2 linked regions of the Diceros bicornis minor genome follow. The protein of the gene in region 1 binds, or shares a complex with, the protein of each later gene. Links are inferred from orthologs where the notes say so. Each region holds a gene or a part of one and is shown on either strand. Other genes may lie near its edges.

What was found.
Region 2: the proteins of EIF4E (region 1) and EIF4G1 are in contact, whole or in part, in a crystal structure (PDB 5T46), measured with the Homo sapiens proteins. The link is inferred for Diceros bicornis minor from reciprocal best matches to the Homo sapiens genes EIF4E and EIF4G1. Residues at the interface, in NP_001959.1 of Homo sapiens: Pro31, Tyr34, Lys36, His37, Pro38, Leu39, Gln40, Phe47, Lys49, Arg61, Leu62, Ile63, Ser64, Val69, Glu70, Trp73, Ala74, Leu75, Tyr76, Asn77, His78, Ile79, Gln80, Leu85, Tyr91, Glu132, Leu135, Ile138, Gly139, Glu140; in NP_937884.2 of Homo sapiens: Glu608, Lys609, Lys610, Arg611, Tyr612, Arg614, Phe616, Leu617, Leu618, Phe620, Gln621, Phe622, Ile623, Phe624, Ala625, Ser626, Met627, Gln628, Lys629, Pro630, Leu633, Pro634, Ile636, Asp638, Val639, Val640, Leu641.

What each region holds. Positions count from the first base shown.
Region 1 is NC_080747.1:81,778,442-81,786,430, reverse strand, and holds the start of EIF4E (eukaryotic translation initiation factor 4E), read left to right. Parts: upstream 1-4,980; 5' UTR 4,981-4,995; coding exon 4,996-5,208; intron 5,209-7,989. UniProt on the Homo sapiens protein: Acts in the cytoplasm to initiate and regulate protein synthesis and is required in the nucleus for export of a subset of mRNAs from the nucleus to the cytoplasm which promotes processes such as RNA capping, processing and splicing.
Region 2 is NC_080754.1:39,381,090-39,388,943, reverse strand, and holds the start of EIF4G1 (eukaryotic translation initiation factor 4 gamma 1), read left to right. Parts: upstream 1-4,834; 5' UTR 4,835-4,943; intron 4,944-5,742; 5' UTR 5,743-5,799; intron 5,800-6,022; 5' UTR 6,023-6,056; coding exon 6,057-6,116; intron 6,117-6,350; exon of another isoform or gene 6,351-6,410; coding exon 6,411-6,497; intron 6,498-7,599; coding exon 7,600-7,776; intron 7,777-7,854. Other genes in the region: PSMD2 (26S proteasome non-ATPase regulatory subunit 2), read left to right, coding at 1-117, 479-661.

The sequences.
Region 1 (7,989 bases):
GGTGTCTGTCATATAGTAAATTTCATATTACTTATATTATTAGTCCTGAGGCTAGATTTTTTGTCTAGTTATTAAAATTAGATTTGGGTTTGTCCCAAATATTTGTTAGCAATCGACCTATCTATCAAGAAGCTAATATTTTATTAGTGGAGACAACCAACAACTAATTAAATAATGTTTAATATAATACTGGGTTTAGAGCTAGGGTTATGCAGTGGTCTGAAGAAAAATAAAGTAGGGTAGGGGTATAAAGAGTAGTGGGCATGCTAATTTTGATAGGGTGGTCAAGGAAGCCTTCCCTCGGGAGATGGCATCGGAACAGAGATCTGAATGAAATGAGGGAAGGAACTCTGCAGCTGTCTCATTCATTAGGTGAATGAGTGCTTGTGATGGGCTTGTTAGCTGCAACCTTTTGGTTCTTAGTCACACTTCTTTATATGGGTACTGAACTATTTATATTCCTATGACTTAGGATGCCAAGCAGATTTTACAGTCCAGGAAGGAAGTGCCTAGGCTTCCCATGTCCTTTAAATATCCTTCAGCAATTCACATTTCCCATTACTAACTCAACACTTCTTGAATGGTTTGTCAGTTCTATAAACGAACTTAGTATTAGAAGTCCTTTGAACAGAAAAAGGCATTTGGAAGAACCTACGAGAGGAAAGCAGCTATGGTATGGAGGGAAGAATCTTGGAGTCAAGAGACTTGGGTTTGAATTCGAGCTCACCACTGGCTGTGTGGACTCGCATGTGTCCCCTAACTTTATTGAGTCTGTTTCTTTACCTATACAATGGGCATAATGTATAATTCACATAATTGTTATAAAGGTCAAATGAAGTAATCAATATGAAAAAGACTTGGCATGTTATAGAAAACCAATGTTAGTTGACTTTGAAAGCTTGGACTATCCTGAAAGATAATAGGCTAGGTTGGTTCTCTAATGAAAGAATTGTTACGCATATTACAGTATACTAAAAAGTAGAAATAAGAAATTTATGTTAATATAATATTACATCATTTATTTCTCACACTAACCAGTTATACAAGATAAGTACTATTATTATGCCCATCTAACTCATGACAAAATGAGGCACAAAGAGACTAAATAATCTGTTTGGTCACACAGTAAGCAGTAGAACTGGGATTATGAACCAAGATAATTTGACATCAGTGCTCACGTTCTTAAATACTAAACTATGCAACTGTAATTGAAAAGATTATTTGTCCTGTTAGAAGTCATCATCTTAGGTCCTTCCTAAAGGAATATCACTGTAGAAAGTCACAATAACAATTTTAAAAAATAGAGCATAAAGTAAAGGATAACCAAGTTTAAAAACTGAGTGAATAGGTTTTAAAAAAAACAATGTTAGTGTTAGTTAGAGGTTGGTTTAGATTATATCTAAATTAATATTCAATATTGCAATATTAAGGATCATTTACTTCATTATGCAATTCATATTTTCTGCCTCAAAACCTACTCATTTTAAGAAAAATGGTCGTTTAGTACTGATACCCAGCAAAACAATGACTTGGGTTATCTAGAAATCCTAAATAAAATTCCAATAAAAAAGAGGTAAATACATGATTAAAAACAACTGATGTGTTCCATCAAATTCTTTAAAGTGTTTTACCGTGAGTTAAATCTATAAAGACTAGTAATATACTAGCTTGATGAATACATTATGTAGAGAAAAGATCATGACTACTTATAGACACTAAATGAAAACCAATTATTCCAGGCTTATACATAATAGTTACCATGATACTATGCTGGGCCATTAGTTATGTATTTACCAGATAACTTGATCTAGTAGAATAGAATTTCAATACTATCTCCCATTTCATATATCTTTTTATTACCCTTTCTTTAAGCATAAGTATGAATACAGTAGTAAGGTAACAAATGTAATTTTTTGTGGATTAATAGAGAAATAAAGTATAAAATTTCTGCTCTGTATATTTCAGATTAGCAAAAACAAAACAACCACATACACACGTAAATAAAAATCTAATCATCAAATCTTTAACACGGTAGACTCTAATGGCAATATTAGGCAAACACACACGAATGTGCCATGCAACGAAGTGTATACAAAATGGAGAGAAATTAAGCTATAAAGAATAGGAGTATATGTAAGTATTGTAGAAGTACTAGGATGATAGACAAAAGTGGGGAGTTTTTTGATCAAGAGAAAAGTTAATAAAATGGAGGTTATCACTAAAAGAAGTTTTGAGAATATCACCGGCTTTCAGTCCTATAAGGGGACTGAAATCTCCTTAATTCTTTGCTCTGTTATCTAGCAGCATCATAAAAATAGCACATTTATGCTCTCTCCTCAAAGAAGATAACCAGATACTACTTCTAACCAACAGAAAATACCACTGAGATCAACTGTAATTACTTTGGATAGTTTAAGTAACAGTCTGCCTAAGTAGAAATCCATTCATCCGTTTATTTTTTTTTTAATTCCATCTACTTTAAACCTACTAGAGCTAAACTGACTGAAAAGCTTTCATTAATCACCTCTGATATCCAGGTAAACCAAAACATATGAACAGGCAATGGTTTTGAGTTCTCACACAGCCTCAACTATGTGTGAGTCAACTCAAGCCACCATTATGTACTCAACAATAGCGATGACCCAGCTCTAGGCATTGGCAACACTATCAGCAGGCAGGCACAAGCACCCTGCTTATATTGATCTTCTGGTGTTAACATTCTTAAGAAGTATGGCAAATAGGGATGATATGATGTCTTCCTCATGAGAACCTTATAGCAGCATTCTACTAGATTTCTTTTATCTGTACTGATTGTTGTATTAATAATCAGACTGTGCAGAATAACACTGTCTTGAGAAACGATAGCACACTATCTTAGCGGGAAAGGAAATGTAGGATGCCAATGTGGGGATAAATTTCTAATTGCCAGAGATTGTTGTGAATATAACAATATTTTCGTGAATATTAAAGCCTCTACTGAGGTTAGCTATAAACAAAAAAATTGTCTTGAAATTTTAAAATTGCCACGGTGTACATGATAACGTAAACAAAAGAAAAACTTAAAACATTGTTTAAAAAAATAGCAGGAGAAGCAACTGATCCTTAGGAAGGCACGAGGTTGCTTATTATAAAGCATTTACAGAGTCCGATGCATTTTCAAAGCTGGATACAATCATTACCACAGCACACCCTTGTGAGGTAAGTGTATTATCATCTGTGGTTCATAAATGAAAAAGCCGAGGCACTGAACGATTAAGTCACTCGCCTAAGGAGAATGAGTCAACGTCCAGAGTCATAGTTGACCAGGCCTAACGACTCCTGACGGTCAGCCCAAGGCTTAGTCAGCGGGACCCGGAGTGGCTTTCCTGGCTGTCACCTGGACCTAGGCTATTTCTGTTCACGTTAAAGCAGAATAGTGCAACCGAGAAGACAGACCTTCCAAATAATTGTTCCTTCCACTCAAGATTTAGCCCTGAGGTCTTACTCTCAGCATTTGGGACTGCAAAAGCTGTCGGGTGCACTCCCCCTCCCCCAGCCTGGGGCAAGTGGGCACGGTGGGCGGTTCTGCCACCCCCTTTCGCAGAGATGGCAACGAGTGACCACGACCGGTAGCGGAGCCGGGGACGGGGCAGGGTTGATTCCTTAAACAACGACTCTCCATCGCCGCCTCTTTTTGAAACTAAGGGAAAATGGTGGGAAGTCAAAAGAAAATTAAATAAACACACAACCTGTCCTAGGACCGCAACTAAACAAATGAAGCCTTATTGTGCGTACTGAGCCTTCCGGGGAAGATGGGAGGACAGGGCGACAAAGGGCACAATAGGCATGCCTGGCAGTAAGTGCGACAGCACCTACCCAGGTGGGAGAGCAGAGGACTGAAAACTACCCTCCAGCACGCGAGCGTCGCCGCGCCAAGAACCGCGCACCCTACCCATCGACCACGTGACCACGCCTTTTTTTTAAACTTCTTTGCCCTGAAGAGAAAAAAAAAAAAAAAAAAGAGAGACAGAGGGAGGGAGAAAAGAGACTCCACTTCCCAGAAGCCCCTGGTCATTCACGCAGCCGCAGTCTTGCGCAGGCGCCGCCAGGGCCAAACGGACACGTCCGTCACGTGGACAGTAGCCGGCCAATCCGGTTTGAATCTCATTTTTTTCTCTCACCCCCCCTCCAGGAGCGGTTGTGCGATCAGATCGATCTAAGATGGCGACTGTGGAACCGGTGAGTATTGCCTTTGGCCCCCACCCCCTCGGGTCCCCGCGCTCCGGCCCCCTTCGGACTAGGGGACCCCGCGGGACGGCGTTCCTGGCGCGCACGCTACCCCTTGCCGCCCCCTCCCCCTCTTCTTGGGCCTGACCTGCCCGCGGGCCCCGGGGGGCGCCCCGGAGGCTGGCGGCGCGGCGTGGAGCGCACACGTTCTGGTGGGGGCTGAGAGCTGGGGGAGAGGCGTGGGGGAGGGGCGGCGCCCCCTGCCGCGCCGCGGGTGTCGACCAGGGTGCAGGGAGACCGTGGCCCCGGGCTGGGTGTGTGGGGATTGTGCCTTCGGGACAGGAAGGCGCGGGGCCGGCCCCGAGCGGGCGCCGGGATCCGCAGGGAGGGTGGGTGGCGAGCCGGCCTGGAAGGAGATCGAGGAGGGAGCCCCGGGGCAGCCTATCCCTCCCTCCCTCCTGAGCTCCCGCCCGGGGGTTCGGGTGCGGGCGCGCGCGGGTCTTCACCGACCAGCGTGCCGGGGAGCCGGTGGGCGCGCGTGGCCGGAGGGTGGGTTGGGCGGGAGCGGCGCCGCGGCACGCGCGGAGAGCGTCGACCTCGCCGAGGGGCGCCGAGGGGCGAGCGCATGGTACTCCAGCGCCCGGGAGTGGCCGGGGCTGGCGGCCGGGGAGGCGAGGGCGGTTTGGGGTGGGGAGGAGAGCCGCGTGTCGCGCGGTAAAGCTTTCTGAGTAGGATGAAGGGTGGTGGTGGTGGTGGTGAGAAGGGGGATCACATTGTCCTCGCCCCTCCATGCTCGAGCCTGGGCTGTCATGGAGGAGGGAAGGGGAGGAGCGAGGCCTACTGAGCGCTGCCGCCGGTCTGGTTGCCGGCCGGACCTGCTGCGTTTCACACGAGCCTCTTCCATTCATTCATGCTTTCCGCGCAGTGCGCACGCCTCAGAGAAGCGAATGGGTCTACATCCAGCTGTTCTTCCGAGTCCTTGTCGTCTGGAAGACTTCTAAGGCGCGGTTTATTGGAATCAAGAACTTAACTTTTAAAATTAAGCTTCCCTTTGAATGTTTTCTCTTTATCTGTTCTACCCACTTTCCTCTCAATGTAGGCACCATCTTAAACTTGGTTGAAGCAAGCTGATCCCGGAGCAGAAAATTGGTAGTTAACCCCAAGGAGAGAGAGTATCTTGGTCATAGTTTGAGTTTGCCAGCATTAGCACTGACGCTGAAACTTCTAGGCCTATGTTGCCGTTTTAGGAATGTCACATCTGAGTGACATTGTTTTAGAGGCATAATGGGCTATGTTAATAACCAGAAAACCTTTGACACTCTGGAACCAGTTCTAGACCTTGGTTGCCAGATATTTTTGTGTATCTGTAGTGGTAGTTTGTGATTTTGATAATGGCTTACCAATTTGCTTTGACTTTTTTTTTTTTAATAACTGTTTCAAAAACTAGTCATGGAGAGGCCTACAGAATACAAAAAGGCTTCTTTTTCATTACATTAATGTGAACTATCCTTACCTTGTTGCCCGGATTTAAGGCAGTTTTTCTACTTGATTACTTGTTCTTTAATTGGTACCAGTTTTTATTTATGTTCCTAGAAATCAGGTTGACTGCAAAACTGTCTCAAGTAGTTGATACAATTAACTGACTTTAGAACATTAATGCTACATAGCTAAAGACGTAGGATAAATATGTAAACTTTTAATTTAAATCCCTTTTAGGGTGTTGTCCACTTCTGGCTGGATCTGCTCTGCTATTCACTTGTACCAGTGTCACTAAAAAGCATTACAGCTGGTAATAGGGGCAAGACTCATACCTCAAAACATAAAACAGTAATGTATTCTGTGAAGTTTCAGTAACATTTAGGTCCTTTGGATTTTGCAAAGTTATGCAGTTTTGTTTCAACAGCAGAGAACTACAAAGTGTTGAAGGATTAGTTTGAGTTAGTAAATATAGCCCCTGATATATTTAGGACGTTGAACCAAGCATTCTTTAGAAATACAAAGTTATACAAGATGTGATTCTATACCTTATTCAATGTAAACTGTTAAAGAGCTTAATTGCCAGTGATGTGGTCAGTGATACAGTATAGAATTTGTTCTAGTGCTGACCCAGAGATTTGGATACTGCATTTAGGTTTGGGGAGCAGGAAACTTAAAAACCTAAAGTGTGTGAAAATGGAAAGCCAGGTTAAACTGTAGTAGTTTGAGGATGTATGTAAAATAACATTGAAGTGTTCATTTTTAGTGAAAATGCACATTTTTAGTACTTTTAATGCACGCTTGTCCACAAGTTAGTAGTTTAGATTCTTTTTGACAATTTTAAATAGTGGGAATTTTTTTTTAAGCAGTTGATTAGTATTGGTTACAATTGAGGTATCCCTGCTGAAGCCTACAGAAAGCATATTTGTTCATTGCTGTTTCAGCTCGCTTGTGAGTTTCCTTATTGCTTTTCTGCTAGGCATAATCATAAGCACTTAAAGAGCCATGGGTTTTTCCTGCTTGTTCCACTTTTCATAAGCGTTTGGGGGAATTTTTATCTATGGAAGTTATATAAAACATCAGTCATTTTCAATTTGATATTATCGTGTGGGTTTTCTCAAGTGTATGTGTATGAGTTCAGTGACATTAAGATATGGCTTACAAATAGTAAATTTGTTGAGAAGTTTGACAGGGCAAATTAAAGGAAGCATTTTACCTCTTTACAGGTAATATGGCAAAATTTTGAACATTGGGATAAACGATACTCTCCTGTTACTGTCTTGGCATTTGAATTGTGGCTGAGTCAAAATTAGACTTAATATTAGTTGGTGAAGAGGGCAAGGCAGTTTCCCCAGGCGGTCTTGCCTCAGTGGGTCTTGTTTCTTTGTAGCTTTATCTTTATTCTACATTCTTCATTGTTGGGCTTTTTTTTTGACTTGTAGTTCTTTTCAAGGTAAGAGATTAATTTTGGTTTCTTTAGTTAAACTGAAGGTATATAATGTTACTTGTTTTCACATTGTATCTCTTGAATTTTTTTATAAATTAAAAATTAATTTCATAAGTGGAATCAACTTGGATGGTCAGCTGATCTAATGTTTCCTTTTTTATCCTTTAGAAACATGCTTTGTATTGCAGAGTTTATTTATTAAAAGTGAATAAGGCTTAAATACATATTGACAAATATGTTGTTATATAATTCAGTGTTTTTTGTTGACCAAAAATTGTTGATTAACAAGCAGATCTTGCAAGTTAATATGTGTGTTTTTGCTTTAATGAAAGAACCCAGTATATCAAACTTTGTTCATAAACCAAATAAATTCAGTTCTGGTATTTATATTCAAATTTCACTAAATTTTATGCTTTGAATTAATATTATGCATAATTATTTGACTTAGAGAAATTCAACTTAGAAACAGACACAGTTTACACACCGAAGTTCCAGAGAATAAAATGCAAAATGAATTATGTAAGCTTAAGCCAATTTGGATAGAAAATTTTAGGCAAAGAAATTTTTATAAAATATTCTGTTCAATTTATATCAAGTTAAGAATATAGTAAAAGTAACAATAGTCATGGATATAACAAGGAACCTGTGAAATAATTGCTCTAGCAATAGTAATTTCTACTTTCCCTTGCCTTCTAATATTGGAAATTTCCTTGCTCTTCTGGTACCTGTGAACTGCTCCATTTTTGTCATAGAGACATTTTTGAAATGTGGACATGAGCATGGCTTATATTCTAATTTTAATATCTGTGTCACCTTGAAGACTGAACTTTCTAAGTCTAGCTGAAAAAAGGAAATTAAGA
Region 2 (7,854 bases), on another chromosome or scaffold:
ATCCTCGGCAAATCACACTATGTATTGTATGGGCTGGTGGCTGCCATGCAGCCCCGAATGCTGGTTACATTCGATGAGGAGCTGCGGCCATTGCCAGTATCTGTCCGTGTGGGCCAGGTGAGGGGTTGAGCAGAGGGGAGGGCTCAGGCTGTACAGTCATGTGCTGTATAACAATGTTTCAGTCAATGATGGACCGTGTATACAATGATGGTCCCATAAGATTAGTAGCATAGATCCTGGGTGTATAGTAGGCTACACCATCTAGGTTTGTACAAGTACACTCTATGATGTTTGCACAACGATGAAATCGCCTAACAATGCATTTCTCAGAACATATCCCCATCATTAAGTGATGCATGACTGTACTTTAAAACTTGGAGAGTGCACATATGCCTGCTTTTCTGAAACTGGTGTGAGCACTGGGTTGCTGCGACACTCCCATTTGGAGTCCCTTCATCTCAATTTTCTTATCCTACAGGCAGTGGATGTGGTGGGCCAGGCCGGCAAGCCTAAGACCATCACAGGGTTCCAGACACACACAACGCCAGTGTTGTTGGCCCACGGGGAACGGGCAGAATTGGCCACTGAGGAGTTTCTTCCTGTCACCCCCATTTTGGAAGGTTTTGTTATCCTTCGGAAGAACCCCAACTATGACCTCTAAGTGGCCACCAGGGCCTTTGAGCTGCAGCTGTTGTCAGTGGGCCGTGCTTCCTGCTGCCAGGGGTGGACACTGCTCCAGACTTGTGAGGGAATTGTTACCTCCTGTTCTTTTGTTACCAAGTGAGATAACTTTGTTGAATAAAGACCTTTATCCCCGAGGTCCCTCTGTGTCTCTTTTCTGGGGTACCATGGGCTGGAGGTCAGACTCGGGTGGGGAGTAGATGTGAGACAGCATTGTTTGTAGCAGTTTTGAGCTGAGGCTAGGAGAGAGACTGCCCTGAATGGAAAGAACTAAGACTCTTTCCCTTCTCTCCTCCTTCCTAATCATCTTTAAAAAGTGGTTCATGTTTAGGGGCATGAACCCTTAAGAAGCTGATAAATGTAATGGATCTTCTTTCTAGGAGATGCATACACACAAATTTTCATACAAATTCGTACAAATAACTTTCCAAGGTGGATCCCATACATCCCCTACTCCCACCCACCAATGCACGCCCACCTCAAGCCCATCATTTCCTGACTTTGGACTAAGGATACCTGCTCTAAGAGGCAGCAGAGTTAGCTCCACTCTTTCTAACTCGACTCCTGGGCCGCTGATTGAAAGGGACGTCTTTACCTCCTGTGACCCTCTTTTCCTCCTTGGGAGGTTGCTATTTGAGAGATTTGATCATATTAACATCTATTTCTGGACTGTCCTTGCAGAAACTGGGTGCAAGAAAGCTTGACCCTGACCTTCCTCTCAGTGTAGCAATGGGAAAGAGAAGTGGGCTCCTTCCTGGAATATAATCACCCTTGATCTGCAGTGCTTCTTCCTGGTGGGGCTGGTATGAGTATAGCAACCCTGCCAGGTGGGGCATGGACCCCGCGGATGCAGTGGAGAACACGTGGCCCTGCCAGATAATCACTAGCATTTACCCAACACTGGGGTTTACCCTCTGAACAGTAACTGGCACTTAATAGGTCTTCTATAAATGTTGGAAGAATAATTGTCCTACACGCTTTTGAGACCTCACAATAACTTTGAGAGGTAGGTATTATCCCTGTGTTTTGGGGAGGAATGTAGTTTGGGTGAGGTTTGGTAACTTAGTCACATAGTAAATGGTGGGGCCAGGATTGGAGTCTAAGTCCATCTGACTCCAAAGCCCACACCCTCATTGACCACATTAATCTGTCTCTGTAGCCTTGGAGACTTGCGGACCCTATTGTAGTCCAAGGTATTGGCTAGGTGGAGAAGTGGAAATTTTGGATTGAGTGTCTCCGTTGTCTCCTCTCTGCACTCACTTGGCAGCCTGTATAAAATCTGTAAAAGGTTGAAGCACTGGACTTGGGAGTCAAGTCCCTTTAATGGGACCTGCTGTAGTCTGAGCAAATCAGCATGTCTGATGAGCCTCTGTTATCATCTGTATTACTTGGATAGAGTAATTGCCTTTCCTGATTTCCAATAGTGGTGATGTTAAAATAAGGTAAATTAGAAAGTGATTTGTAAACTGCAAAACAACATAAATAAAAAGATAATTCTCTCCTAAATCAGTGATTGTGCTTTAGAGTAAGAAATTTTCATAGTGGCTCTCAACCTTTCACATTTGGTCATGCATTCTGCAACAAATATCAATGGAGCCTTATTCTGCATTGGGCATTATTCTAGCTTGTGGGGATGCAAAGATAGAAAAAAAAAATCCTATCAAAGCTTATGTAGGGCTGGCCCTGTGGCTTAGCGGTTAAGTGCGCACGCTCCTCTGCTGGCAGCCCGGGTTCAGATCATGGGCGTGCACCAATGCACCGCTTCTCCGGCCATGCTGAGGCTGCGTCCCACATACAGCAACTAGAAGGATGTGCAGCTATGACATACAACTGTCTACTGGGGCTTTGGGGGGAAAAATAAATAAATAAATTACAAAGCTTATGTAATGGAAAATAATTGTGATATATCATGATAGATACTGTATTGGGCTGTGAACAAGGTACCCTGGGATCACTGAAATAAGGCTTAAGTGCCTGGGTAGGTCAGGGGAGATTTTGAGGAAACAGACTTGGAGGAAGATGAGTTTTTCCAGAAGAAAAGAGAGTAGGATAAAACTAAGGGAGCAGCAAAAGCAGGAGGGCAGAAAAGCTATTCATTTTAAAAAACCAGGGATATGGGCCGGCCCCGTGGCTTAGCGGTTAAGTGCGTGCGCTCCGCTGCTGGCGACCCGGGTTCGGATCCTGGGCGTGCACTGACGCGCCGCTTCTCCGGCCATGCTGAGGCCGAGTCTCACATACAGCAACTAGAAGGATGTGCAGCTATGACGTACAACTATCTACTGGGGCTTTGGGGGGAAAAAAATAAATAAATAAAATTATAAAAAAAAAAAAAAAAACAGGGATAGCTTGGTTTGACAAAGGGTATAGGGCCAGGGAAAAGTGTGGTAGGAGATACAGTTAGAGACAGAGGCTCAGATAGGTTTAGAAGAGCTTTGTTGTGCTAAGAAATTGACAGTATCACTCAATGGGAACCACTGAATGAGAGCATGATCAGCTACCTGGGTGAGAAAGCTCACCATTGAGGTGCGGAGACCAGGCAAAGGAAATGAAGGCCTGAACCAGGGCAGTAGAAATGGGGGGATGGGGAAGCACAGAAGAATAATTTTTTAAAGATAAAATCCACAGGACTTGATTTTGATCCAAACACCAATAGGACCTGGTGTCTGATTAGATGTAGTATGTGGATGAGAAGGAATGTAGGATGGATCCCAGATTTTCTGGTTGGATGCTATTCATTGAAAAAGAATACATGAGCAACACCAGGTTTGGGGTCAAGGTGTAGGACTCTATGTAGAGAGAGATGACAAATTCCTATCTGGGCATACACAATTTGAGATGCCTCTGGGGTGATTAGGTGATTATGTATTTTATGTAGCACCTTTTTCTTACTGGAGTTTGAGAGAGTGGTTTCTGATCTAGGAAGGGATTGGCATGTAGGCAGTAACTGATTTTTATTTATTAGTTTGCTTATGCAGAAAGAGAAATGAGAAGAGTACAGAAGGCAGCCATACACAGTAAAGTCACAGAACTCAAATGAAGAGTGTCACAGAGAACACTCTAGATTTGCATTTTCATTCTCACTATGGTTCCTTCTCGATGTGTCTATTTTGCTTTCCTTTCTTTGGAGCTTTAGTTTCTCATATACAATGGGAATAATAATACAATCTATTTTGTAGGAAATTGTGAGGACTATATATGACATACGTCATATATATTAAGTGACCAGTTCATCGATTGGTGCTGAGAAAACCTTTTCTTCTGAGATTTTATGTGTATATACACAGAGAGAGGAGAAGGGAGAGGGGAGAAGACAGAGGACAGAGGTAGAGAGAGGAGAGGGTATCCAGGCACTGTTTTAAGCACTTTCACATGAATTAACTCCTTTAATCCTCTCAATCCGATACAATGGGTATTATCATTGTGAGAAAAAGCACAGTGGTTAAAAGCTCAGACTTGAGTTCAAATCTTCCCATTTTACAACAGGTATTAGGTAGGTAGGTAGGTATGTGGCCAGGGAGTAAGCAGCAGAGTTTGGATTAAAACTCAGGCTATCTGACTGAGTAAATACGTGGATTTGGCTCTAGTACGGTCCCTTCTGGTGTCCAAAATTTTTTGGCTAACGGGCAGGGGTTTTGGGATTACTTCTTCTACCATTATTCTGAACTTTCTATGCTTGAGTTTGTCCCTCTCTGGGAGCGGCTGATCTTTGTAAAAGACAAATCTAACAATACTAATTCCCTAGTTAGAATGTTTCAATACTTCTAGAGTAACATTCAGTTTAATTGGTCTTTTCATGAGCTAACCTACATTATTTTCAAAGGCTGCATAATTCGTATTTCTTTCCGTACTTATTGCATGATTTACTTAGGCAGGACTGAGTCTTTAATTTCAGTATTCTCAGCTCCCAGCGAGCACTTCACCTAGCGCTTAGTATGCACTCCATAAATGCTTGCTCAAAGTATGAATGAACTAAAGAACCACGGAACACAGACGCAGAAGGGGGTCGGTCTGGGAGTTCCAAAGTTCGGGAGGGGACACGGGGGCGGGCAGTGGCAGTCACATGACGAGGCGGGGCAAATCCCATGTGCTCCGCGGCGCCAGGCGCGGCTCCGCCCTCTGCGCCGGTCACGTGGGGGCGCCGGCTGCGCCTGCGGAGAAGCGGTGGCCGCCGAGCGGGATCTGTGCGGGGAGCCGGAAATGGTTGTGGACTACGTCTGTGCGGCTGCGTGGGGCTCGGCCGCGCGGACTGAAGGAGACTGAAGGTAAAGCCGCCATGTCCGGGCCCGACCCGGCCCCCCCACCCCCTCCCCCCGCATCCGCCGCCATCCAGGCCGGGACCGGCCACCCTGCGCCGCCGCCCTGGCACCCTGGCTCCGCGGCCCAAGCCCGGGCCCCGGCCCTCCAGGGCCCGATCTCCGGCCCACGTGTGCCCGGCCTGGCTGCTGGGTGGGGGCGGGGGAGCGCCGGGCCGGAATATGCGGTCCCCGCGGGCAGGGAGGGCGCCGAGTTCGCCTGTCGCGAGGTGCCACCTCGGCTCGACCCGAGGAGGCCCCGCGGGCGCAGCACCGCGGCTCCCGGCCCGCCGCCCCATCCCCCCTTTGCGGCCCGGCCGCCGGGAAGTGACACGTTGTTCTTTGGCACTGGCCGGCGCTGCGCAGGGAGGGCGCAGGGGAGGGAGGCAGCGGCGGCGGGCAGGGAGGAGCCCCCGGCCCCGCCCGGCCTCCGGGCCGACCCTCACTTGTTTGAAACCGGCTTCTCTTCGGCCGCCGCCCGCCTGGCCTTTTACGGCCCGACTCCCGCCCTTCCTGGCCTCCACGCCTGGGTGGCGGCAGGCCTCGCCTCTGGCCCCGCGCGAGTGCCCCCGCGGCAGGCGTGCCTTGTGTGCCCCTGGGCCAGGCCCCGAACCCGGTGTCCCCGGGTGGGGGGTGGGGACACCACGGCCGAAGCTACTAGCTCCGTTTGTGATCCGGGAGCCTGGTGCCAGCGAGACCTGGAATTTCCGGTCTGGTTGGTCTTGGGCCCCGCGGAGCCAGGTTGATACCCCTCAACTCCCAACCCCAGGCCCTCGGATGCCCAGAACCTGTAGGCCGCACCGTGGACTTACTGTTAACCGAGGGGGTGAGTGAGGTGGCTCTTTCATCAGGTCAGGGAGGTGGTTGGAGGTGATGCGGGTTTGACAACGTGTTGATGGGGACATAAGCTGGATCCTTGCTGCTCCTTCACCCTCTTGGCGCCTCCGGGGGTCGGTATGGGACTCAGCCCTTGCTTCAACCCCTCCCCCAGTCCATTTGCCTTAAGCTTGGGTCCCTTCTCCTTTCCGAGCTCCACTCTTTCCCAACAGGTGCTGGGGGGACCCTGATGTGGCACCAAATGAAATGAACAAAGCTCCACAGCCCACAGGCCCCCCACCCGCCCCATCCCCTGGACTCCCACAGGTAATTAGGGACGAATTAGCAGAGACTGGGGTGGGGGTGGGGGGACCAGGCAGCTGGGTCAGAAACAGGTTCTAGCCTCTGGATTTCCCACCCCCATCTGTGTCAGGGCAAAGTGCAGCTTCCTGCTGCCAAATTGAGACAGAGCCCCTGGGCTGTTCCCAGGGGCTGTCATGGGGAGGGGGTATGTGGACTGCTGAGACTCTTGTCACAGATCTGCTCCCCTTACTTCACCAGCTTGGGTTTCTGCCCCACCCGGGTTTCCCCTCTTGCTGAACTCTGGTCTCCCTCCTTCAGCCAGCGTTTCCCCCGGGGCAGACAGCACCGGTGGTGTTCAGTACGCCACAAGCGACACAAATGAACACGCCTTCTCAGCCCCGCCAGGTGAGGGGCCGTGGGGAGGGGAGTAGGGGGCCTGGGTGGGGCCTTGGAAAGCTTGGGCCAGTTTGGGTCTAGGATGGAAACTCTGGAGGCCCTGTACCTGCCCCAGTTTCCTGACAGTTGCTCTGTGTTCTTTTGTGCAGCTCTGCACTTTGCGCTGTTGATTACTTACAGTATCTGGCCCCTTGGGGAGTATGTAGTTGGTGGGGGTGGCGTTACTAGGGGTCCTGGTGACTTGAGAATTGGGGGCAGTGCTTTGGACCCTGCTGCCAACTCCTGCTTTCCTATTTCCTCCTTTTACTGGGAGGTTGCCATTGCTCTGTTCCCCTTCCCTTCTTTCTCTTGGGGCTATGATGGGATAAACATTCCAGCTGGTTCTTGCCTTTATCTATACCCTAAATTCTTCCTCGCTAAGTGGGAGGATTCTTGTCCTACTTCCTTCATTGTTCCCCCTCATCACCTTGGGGATAATTCTCTTCTTTCCTGTCCCCACGTGCTCTCAGGGAGGATTCAGGTCTCTGCAGGTAATACCCCTTTGCTAATCCTGGACCTTCTCTTGGTCTCACCCTTACCCTCCACCCTAGTCAGGGGCTAGATGCAAGGACTGGGGCTCTTCAGGGTGGGGACTTGTTTGTCATTCAAGTCCTCAGTCTGAGCCTGACTGATGCATGTTAGGGGCTATATCTCGCAGAGCGTGCATCTGGGACCTGGGAGACTTGCATGTTAGTGGTTAGTTCCTCAGTGCCTTAGGTGGAGCAGTGCATGCTGAGGAGTATGTTGCCCGAAAGGACTTTACTTAGGCATGATGCATCTGGGTATCAGGCAGCCTCTGCATAGGGGTCGCCTGGTGGAGGTGACATGAGTATGCATGGCAGTGAGGGAGTAAATATATGCAGAGTGCAAAGTGTATACCTGAGTTTGGAGGGCATGTGTGAGTACAAGAGGCCAGTTAATCATCAGTTGGTCAAGTGGGTCTTGGAAGTATTGGTCTCCATGCTCCAAAGCCCCTAGTACTTCTCTCCAGTCTAGAGACATTGTGGAATGGCCATTTTGCTGTCCACTTCCTCCCCTTCCCAATGCCAACTGCCTTCCTCCCTCCTGACAGCACTTCTACCCTAGCCGGGCCCAGCCCCCGAGCAGTGCAGCCTCCCGAGTGCAGAGTGCAGCCCCCGCCCGCCCTGGCCCAGCTGCCCATGTCTACCCTGCTGGATCCCAAGTAATGATGATCCCTTCCCAGATCTCCTACCCAGCCTCCCAGGGGGCCTACTACATCCCCGGACAGGTGAGGCTGGAGGCTTGGGGGCTGGAAGCCACAGAGCCTTGTACCCCAACCCTCGCCTCCCTCACCCTGACCTTCCAA